Kluyveromyces lactis: one gene and its partners. The protein of the gene in region 1 purifies or fractionates together with the protein of each later gene. This does not show direct contact. Links are inferred from orthologs where the notes say so. Each region holds a gene or a part of one and is shown in the gene's direction. Other genes may lie near its edges. The genes, in order: LPD1, PDB1 and KGD1.

Region 1 (3,439 bases):
TGCTGAAGTGCTTGATAGAATTGAAAAAATATCCTTAAACCGAGTAATATATGTTTGCGTATAAAATCTACATAGAAAATAATAGTAAAGACCGACACAACGTTGATTCAGTCCATAATGCAATCAAACAGCATGTTCTTTCAGCCCACCTAACGCATGAACCTCCTGGTCTTCTTCTATTTCAAGCCCCCAATTAAAATGTTGGTTCATTTCCTTGAATTTAGCGACAAACTCTTCTGGCAAATCCAAACTAAACCCATTGAATAATGTATATTCATGCGTTATAGTCCCATCAAGTTCATGTGCCACATTCACTAAATCATTGTAGTATTGGAAGCTGTCAGGATATATAACCATAAGTGAAGATACTGTATTTGACGATGACGATGATGATGTTAGTAAAGTTGAGAATTAAAGGGAAAAAAAAGGGTTAAGAAAATCCGTCCTTAAACATACACGAACTGGCCAACGCCGTTCCAATAAAAATAGGTGCAAATCTCATATCTGCGGCTAATGCTTTGTTATTACTGTTGCTACTCTATTCTTTGTTCTTGCTAACAATCTCCCTTATCCTTCATATATCATGATTCATTATTCTTTTATATGGATATCATATCTCATAGTGAGTATTTGGCAGAAGGAAAAACTGGTAATCAAAAAAAAACAACGTGATCATAAATTAATAAACGTTACCCGGTTTGAATCACGTGTTAATCACGTTCTTGATAGCCCGCCCTGCGCCTTTCGTGTCGGCCCCCGTACGGCTTCCGTTTTTTTAGGTTCGTTTCGTTATTTTTCAACTGATTTCATTCAATAGTTTCAATTTTTGTCGATTCCGAAGGTTTCCCTGTTCCCCACGTCAAGACAGTTGCAACTTTTTTGTGATGAGCCGTCGCCTTTATAGATCACACCAGCGAAACAGCTTTTCACAAAGATACTTCTGTTCACTGTGTTATCCCATTTCGATAATTAATAGTAATGACTCTGGCAGTTTGGAAAGCTCAATAGATTGATAAAAAAAAAACTGGTTCTTCAACTTAAAAGTTGCGCAAAGGAACGATGAAATATAGATCAGTTAAATAAGTGGTCTTCTCTGGAATACTACAGTATTTTTTCGAATTACAATCCGTTCAATTATATAATTGTAGTTTATATATGGTCCGTACCGTAGTGAATCACCAAACCCTACCGCATCATGCTGGTATTTGAGTCCTGTAGATCAATTTTCTTGCTATTTAATTGATCAAACCGTCTAATAGTTGTATTTATTTGGGATCGTAATCTTTTTTTTCCATTCCAATTGACATTAATATAAAAGGAATTCACTAGGATATTTTATATTTCAAGAAATATATCAAGTGAAACCACAGAGAAAGGGTTCAGATAACGTATAAGTAAGAGGTTAGAGGATTATCTTATTTATCTTGTTTATTTATATCCGCCCTAATCAAAGATGTTGAGATTCAATTCTACCCGTTCCTTTAGCTCTTCTGCTCTTTTGAAAACCGTTACTAAGAAGCACGACTTGGTCGTTATTGGTGGTGGTCCAGGTGGTTACGTTGCTGCTATCAAGGCTGCTCAACTCGGTTACGATGTTGCTTGTGTTGAGAAAAGAGGTAGACTAGGTGGTACTTGTTTAAACGTTGGTTGTATCCCATCCAAGGCTTTGTTGAACAATTCTCACCTATACCATCAAATGAAGACGGATGCTAAGCAAAGAGGTATTGATATCAACGGTGAAATCAACATTAACGTTGCTCAATTTCAAAAGGCTAAGGACACTGTCGTCAAGCAATTGACTGGTGGTATTGAAATGTTGTTCAAGAAGAATGGTGTCACTTACTACAAAGGTTTAGGTGCCTTTGAAACTGACAAATCCGTTAAGGTTCTTCCTGTGGAAGGTCTGGAAGGTTCCGTTACTGAAGATCACCTCTTGGAAAGTGACAGGATTATTGTTGCCACTGGTTCTGAAGTGACTCCATTCCCAGGTATCACCATTGATGAGGAAAGAATCGTTTCTTCTACTGGTGCTCTTTCCTTGAAAGAAATCCCAAAGAAATTGGCTATCATCGGTGGTGGTATCATCGGTTTAGAAATGGGTTCAGTTTACTCCAGATTGGGTTCTAAGGTCACTGTGATCGAATTCCAACCTCAAATTGGTGCTACCATGGATGGTGAAGTCGCTCAAACTACTCAAAAGATTTTGAAGAAACAAGGTCTCGACTTTAAGTTGAGCACCAAGGTCTTGTCTGCCTCCAGAAACGGTGACGTCGTTGACATCGAAGTCGAAGGTGCCAAGAATGGTAAGAAGGAATCTCTCCAAGCTGATGTCTTGTTGGTCGCTGTCGGCAGAAGACCATACGTCGCTGGTTTGAACGCTGAAAAGATCGGTTTGGAAGTCGACAAGCGTGGTAGATTGGTCATTGATGAACAATTATCCACCAAATTCCCACACGTCAAGGTTATCGGTGATGTTACCTTCGGTCCAATGTTGGCTCACAAGGCTGAAGAAGAAGGTATCGCTGCTGCCGAATACTTCAAGGTCGGCCACGGTCATGTCAACTACGGTAACATCCCGGCTGTCATGTACTCCCACCCAGAAGTCGCTTGGGTCGGTAAGACCGAAGAACAATTAAAGGAAGCTGGTATTCAATACAAGATTGGAAAGTTCCCATTCATCGCTAACTCTAGAGCTAAAACCAACATGGACACCGAAGGTTTCGTTAAGATTTTGATCGACGCAGAATCTGAACGTTTACTAGGTGCTCACATCATTGGTCCTAACGCTGGTGAAATGATCGCTGAAGCCGGTTTAGCATTGGAATACGGTGCTTCTGCTGAAGACATCGCTAGAGTTTGTCACGCTCATCCAACTCTATCCGAAGCTTTCAAGGAAGCTAACTTAGCTGCTTACGCCAAGCCAATCAACTTCTAATTTTTCTTGATAAAGCGAAGTGGAAAAAAAAAATTGCGGATAATTGAAGCTGCTTGATATCAATAACTATAATAAGCTACTTAACAATGGTACGTCGTATCCAGTTGTCGTCTATTTTTTTTTTTATTTATCTCGCCATCTGAAGCATCTTTCTTCTTATATATTCCTCGAATCATTCTTTGATTTCAAACTATACATTGAAAAGTAAAGATTATCAAAAATAAATAGTAAACACGTATAATATATTTAACGTAAATGATATGAAATGTTTGTAAACGAATTCTCAGAACATTCTCAGCTTGTGTGTAATAGGCACCACATCGTTATATCAAAAAAAGAGATCATTGGTCCAGAATGAACAGGGGAAATAAAAAGATTGGACGAGTCCGGAGTCGAACCGAAGACCTCTCCCATGCTAAGGGAGCGCGCTACCAACTACGCCACACGCCCTAATTTCTTATTAACAAGAGTTTTGAGTGAACCATCACCACTCCGTGTAAACAT
Region 2 (2,571 bases), on another chromosome or scaffold:
TTAGGTATCACACCGGAATAACAGAAAAATTGACAATGTCCGCATCATTCCCACGCATCACGTGCCCCCACCCTTTTCCGTCGTTTGAACACCTATACACCTCATCGCCTCCATCAATCTCATCTGCTATGTCGTATTCTCCCGTCGCCAAAACAGGTTTTTTCAGCAGATTTGTGATGGCGCACTTACTATGCGCTAGCATATCTATGAGATAAATACAACGGTATAGCAACCCGCGAATCGCTCGACCCGTACAGTCGAAACGAATAAAAAAAAGCTTATGCAGCGCATATATATTCCTTTAAAGGATTTTGATTTCACCAATATATAAAGAAATATAAGAGGGTCATTTCAGCACCAGGGAAGTTGTTAGTTCTTTAGAGTCGTTATTCCTTTATTCATTGTATTATCTTCTGTTTTGTGTTTCATTTTTTATACTTTATGGATCTGTAATTCAATACTTGTTTAATCTTACTTTATAATTTCTTAAAGGTTTTATAAATCTTACTACAGATTCTCATCCAATCCCACTCAATTAGCGGTTCCCTGAGGCTAACGTCTATTTGTTGAATAGGTCAAAGAACGAGTTTTTATTTTTTTTCAGTGAAAAAATAATATCAAATTCAAGAAATTATAAAAAAGAATTCAGTTGAAAAGGATCCTTTTTAGTTATAGAATTGACAATTGACTATCTAATTTGTCTGTCTTATAACAAACGCATCTCAACAACTTCTGTCTGTTTGTTTATTGCTTCGTTTTTGTTTTCGAATTATCAAAACATTATTTCTTCTACCTTTAAAAGAAAAAGAAAAACGAAAAGATATCAAACTCTAGTATAATATTCATTCTCCTTTGGTTCAGTAAACGTTTTACAAGCGAAGACAATTTTAAAGGTTAAGAAGAATTACACGTAGTGAAACGAAACGTTAGTACCCGATTGATAAAAACTTTCAACTGGCAAAATTATTAAATACTAATACAACATGATGATGCTTTCTAACACTTTTAAGAGGGCTGTTCCTTCTGTGGTTCAATCCATGAGATTTGCTTCTACCAAGACCATGACCGTCAGAGAAGCTTTGAATTCTGCCATGGCCGAAGAAATGGACCGTGATGATGATGTTTTCATCATTGGTGAAGAAGTTGCTCAATATAATGGTGCTTACAAGGTTACCAAGGGTTTATTGGACCGTTTCGGTGAAAGAAGAGTTGTTGACACTCCAATTACCGAAATGGGTTTCACTGGTTTGGCTGTTGGTGCCGCTTTGAAGGGTTTAAAGCCAATTGTTGAATTCATGTCTTTCAACTTCTCCATGCAAGCTATGGATCAAGTCATTAACTCCGCTGCTAAGACTTACTATATGTCCGGTGGTACTCAGAAATGTCAAATCGTTTTCAGAGGTCCAAACGGTTCTGCTGTCGGTGTTGCTGCTCAACATTCCCAAGATTATTCTGCTTGGTACGGTTCTGTTCCAGGTATGAAGGTTTTGGTTCCATACTCTGCTGAAGATGCTAGAGGTTTGTTGAAGGCTGCCATTCGTGATCCAAACCCAGTTGTTTTCTTGGAAAACGAATTGTTATACGGTCAATCTTTCGAAGTCTCTGAAGAATCTCTGTCTACTGATTTCACTTTGCCATACAAAGCAAAGGTTGAAAGAGAAGGTTCTGATATCTCTATCATCAGTTACACCAGAAATGTTCAATTCTCTTTGGAAGCTGCTGAAATTTTGTCTAAGCAATACGGTGTTTCTGCTGAAGTTATCAATTTGAGAGCCATTAGACCTTTGGATGTTGAAGCTATCATCAACACTGTCAAGAAGACCAACCACTTGATTACTGTTGAATCTACTTTCCCAGCTTTCGGTGTTGGTGCTGAAATTATCGCTCAAATTATGGAATCTGAAGCCTTCGATTATTTGGATGCTCCAATTCAAAGAGTTACTGGTGCTGAAGTCCCAACTCCTTATGCTAAGGAATTAGAAGATTTTGCTTTCCCAGACCCTGACACCATTGTCAGAGCTGCTAAAAGTGTTTTGTCTATTGAATGATTGCACCGTGCACTCTTTCTTTACTGACAGTTATGCACCTCTGTTGGCCTCCGTTTTTTATCAAAACAAAAGAGAATATTCATTGGATAAGGAATAGTGCATGATGGTTCATTCGCATTCGGTTTTTCTTATGATTGTACTCCTTTGTTGCAATAAACTAAGTTATGAATTGATTTACAAACTTCAAAGAAAAATAGAAAAATTAAAACATATTATATTATTAAGATATGAATACCAAGTTCAGTTAATACACGATTTTGGATTAGGAAATAGAATGAGATAGAGTTGCCTGTCGTTGAATTATTCGCTGGTAAAGGTAAGTTGATGAATTAGAGATTTTACAATTTTTTTTCATGTATGTTGCCCATCAGTAATGATGAAGAAAAGTTTTCATCACTAGAGATGGGAACAATAAGGTATTTGGGGACAACTGCGGTTGTTATGAGATTAAACTGTATATATATATTCTGCCGTTAAAACAAGACGCTGTGCGCTACTTTCTGTACAACTTGTCGTTATTTCC
Region 3 (3,762 bases), on another chromosome or scaffold:
TGTAGCTTAACCTTGAGAGTAGTAGTATTGGAAGTATCGAACGAAGATTGATTGAAACATCTTGAACCAAGTGATAATCAAGCAATGGTCAAGTGACAGCAAAGAATTTCTCGCGACCGAGTTGGGTTGACGAATGTCCGTACACCACATACCGTCAACCGCACTCAGCCTTTGCTTACACTTTAAAACCCATCAGCCAGTCTGGCACGGAGTTGCATAGTACTTATCTGAATATGGAATACTGAAAAGAAAATGTTGAAACGTTACCCGGAATTCCGGGCTGTCCCACAAAATGAATCTGGTAGTTTCCCGTCTTCGAATCCGAAAACGGGTCACCGGACCCCTACTCGCAGACCATGCCCTACAGCTTTTACTATCTGGCATTCTCGTATTGTTGAAAACTGAGTAAGCGGCACTAAAACACTTGTTTGTTCCACCATGTAGCAAGGAAACCTTATGCAAAAACCACATAAAGCTGCTAGAGAGCTACAGGCATTAAAGGTATCAGTACCGATTCGAAGAAAGAAAGAAAATGGGAGTGAGGATCAAAACCGGGGAAATGGCACGAGAGAGATATTGGTGGTCCATTTAATAGTTGAATGAGTGCTTTTTTTTCACACAAAATCGTGAATATATATAGTGCATCTACTATTTCCTATATAAATACTGGTTCTTACTATTTTTATAGAAGAGGTATTTATTATTTTCAAGATTCAAGAGGCCTGCCTTAATACAATTAAGATAGGAGACAGAAGGAAAATAATAACGGAGTTTATTATTTGCCTGTTAAATTAAACTCGTCTAGTAAACGCAATACTCGACTCTCTGGCACTGTTTGAGTTCTGCTTACTCTAATTTAGTTTTTTTGTTGGTATTTCTGTTTTTTATCGGCTAAAAAGTATAAAAGATACAGGATTTATACATTAATTTCACTGCTTATTTAAGTGAAAGAGAACGGGAAATTAAAAAAATCGGGGGTATTTTTTCAAGATCTTCCGACAAGAAAAAAAAGATTGAAGAAGCTTTATTTCAACTTCGTGTTCGCAAGTAGGATATCTCTTTTTTTCAATTAATTAGGAACGTTAACAAAAACAGTCAATTTTGAATCGAAGTTTTTGCCTGTTGTCGTCTTAGTTTCTGACTCTACTACTATCAAGTACTTCTTCTTTTGTTCCCTTTTTTTGTGAGTAATTTTGGATTGAAAATTCACAAAGAAGAGCCATAAAAAAATAAAAACAAAAGAAGATATAAACGAGAAAGATTCATTGAAAGTTAATCATCGTTGAAAAGTTCAACATTTTGTGAATTGCAAGGGATTTTTTTACTTGATAACTGGATATATCAATTTTACAACACACGTACAGAACAAAGCGACCATCTATTGATTTAAGGTTTGTGTTTTGCTTCTTTCGTTATACAGAAAAGAACAAAAAATAACTGTCTTTTGAACAATGTTGAGAACTATAAGGTCATCTCAGCGTTTGTTACATGCTTCTAAATTCACCAGGATCGGTGCTGTAAGCAAACCGACTTCCTTGGCTGTTTTCAGTCGTGGATTGGCTAGTGGTGCATCTTCGACGGACAACTTCCTGTCCACCACCAATGCATCATATATCGATGAGATGTACGAAGCTTGGCAAAAGGATCCCACTTCAGTTCATGTCTCTTGGGATGCTTATTTCAAGAACATGGGTAATCTGAATATTCCAGCCTCTTCTGCCTTCACCGCCCCACCAACATTAATTCCAATACCAACGGGTCCTGGTGTGCCTCAAGATATATTGATAGGGGGTTCGTTAAGTGGCGTTGACCAAGACATCACAACACATTTAAAAGTGCAACTTTTGTGCCGTGCTTACCAAGTAAGAGGTCACCAGAAGGCTCATATTGATCCGTTACAAATTTCATTTGGTGATGATAAGAGTAAACCTCTACCTCGTGAGTTGACTTTGGAACACTATGGATTCACAGAAAAGGATCTAGATAGAGATATCACATTGGGACCCGGTATCTTGCCACGTTTCTCTCGTGATGGTAGAAAGACCATGAAACTAAGAGAAATTATTGCTGCTTTGGAAAAATTGTACTGTTCTGGATACGGTATCGAATACATTCATATCCCTTCAAAAGAACAATGTGAATGGTTAAGAGAAAGAATTGAAATCCCACAACCTTATAATTATACCGTAGACCAAAAGAGACAAATTTTGGATAGACTGACTTGGGCTACTTCTTTTGAAACTTTCTTATCTACTAAATTCCCTAACGATAAGAGATTCGGTTTGGAAGGTTTAGAAGGTGTTGTTCCTGGTATCAAGACCTTGATTGACCGTTCCGTTGAATTAGGTGTTGAAGATGTTGTCTTGGGTATGGCTCATCGTGGTAGATTAAACGTTTTGTCTAATGTGGTGCGTAAACCAAACGAATCCATCTTCTCAGAATTTAAGGGTTCTGTTGCTCCAGAAGAATACGAGGGTTCCGGTGATGTGAAATATCATTTGGGTATGAATTACCAAAGACCAACTACCTCTGGTAAATACGTTAACTTGTCTTTGGTTGCTAACCCATCTCATTTGGAAGCCGCTGATCCTGTTGTTTTGGGTAGAACTAGAGCCATCCAGTTCTCTAAGAACGATATTGGCAAGTATGACAAGGCCATCAGCGTCCTATTGCACGGTGATGCTGCTTTCGCTGCTCAAGGTATCGTTTACGAAACCATGGGTTTCCTACATTTGCCAGCATACTCTACTGGTGGTACCATTCACGTTATCACAAACAACCAAATCGGTTTCACTACTGATCCAAGATTCGCTAGATCAACTCTATACCCATCTGATTTGGGTAAAACCATTGATGCTCCTATCTTCCATGTAAATGCCAACGATGTTGAAGCTCTTACATTCATTTTCAACTTGGCTGCTGAATGGAGAGCTACTTTCCACACTGATGCCATTATTGACGTCGTCGGATGGAGAAAGCATGGTCATAATGAAACTGACCAACCTTCCTTCACACAACCATTAATGTACCAAAAGATTTCTAAGCAAAAATCTGTCATTGACGTTTACACGGAAAAGTTGGTATCTGAAGGTTCCTTCACCAAGCAAGATATCGATGAACATAAGAAATGGGTTTGGGGTCTATTCGAGGAAGCATATGAGAAGGCAAAGGACTATAAGCCAACTTCAAGAGAATGGTTAACTGCTGCTTGGGAAGGTTTCAAGTCTCCAAAGGCTTTAGCTACTGAAATCTTATCCCACGAACCAACCGTCGTTGATGCTGATACTTTGAAGAACATTGGTAAGACCATCTCCTCATGGCCAGAGAACTTCGAAGTTCATAAGAACTTGAAGAGAATTTTAACCAACAGAGGTAAAGCAGTTGAATCCGGTGAAGGTATTGACTGGTCTACCGGTGAAGCATTAGCTTTCGGTTCCTTAGTGTTGGAAGGTAATCACGTCAGAGTTTCTGGTGAAGATGTTGAAAGAGGTACCTTTTCACAAAGACATGCTGTTCTTCACGACCAAAAATCCGAGAATACTTACACTCCATTAAAGCACTTGTCTGAAAAACAAGCTAACTTCACCATCTGTAATTCTTCGTTGTCTGAATACGGTTGTATGGGTTTCGAGTATGGTTACTCTTTGACTAACCCAGATTATTTCGTTGTTTGGGAAGCTCAATTCGGTGATTTCGCCAACACTGCTCAAGTCATCATCGATCAATTCATTGCCGCTGGTGAAGTGAAATGGAAGCAAAGAT

What was found.
Region 2: the proteins of LPD1 (region 1) and PDB1 purify together in Saccharomyces cerevisiae (affinity purification with mass spectrometry; 4 studies listed by BioGRID, with this or other methods). This does not show direct contact. The link is inferred for Kluyveromyces lactis from reciprocal best matches to the Saccharomyces cerevisiae genes LPD1 and PDB1.
Region 3: the proteins of LPD1 (region 1) and KGD1 purify together in Saccharomyces cerevisiae (affinity purification with mass spectrometry; 5 studies listed by BioGRID, with this or other methods). This does not show direct contact. The link is inferred for Kluyveromyces lactis from reciprocal best matches to the Saccharomyces cerevisiae genes LPD1 and KGD1.

What each region holds. Positions count from the first base shown.
Region 1 is NC_006040.1:950,596-954,034, forward strand, and holds LPD1 (dihydrolipoyl dehydrogenase), read left to right. Parts: upstream 1-1,453; coding exon 1,454-2,935; downstream 2,936-3,439. Other genes in the region: KLLA0_D11143g (uncharacterized protein), read right to left, coding at 124-368, 457-502.
Region 2 is NC_006042.1:882,255-884,825, reverse strand, and holds PDB1 (pyruvate dehydrogenase (acetyl-transferring) subunit E1 beta), read left to right. Parts: upstream 1-983; coding exon 984-2,048; downstream 2,049-2,571. UniProt on the Saccharomyces cerevisiae protein: The pyruvate dehydrogenase complex catalyzes the overall conversion of pyruvate to acetyl-CoA and CO(2).
Region 3 is NC_006042.1:430,475-434,236, reverse strand, and holds the start of KGD1 (alpha-ketoglutarate dehydrogenase KGD1), read left to right. Parts: upstream 1-1,451; coding exon 1,452-3,762. UniProt on the Saccharomyces cerevisiae protein: The 2-oxoglutarate dehydrogenase complex catalyzes the overall conversion of 2-oxoglutarate to succinyl-CoA and CO(2).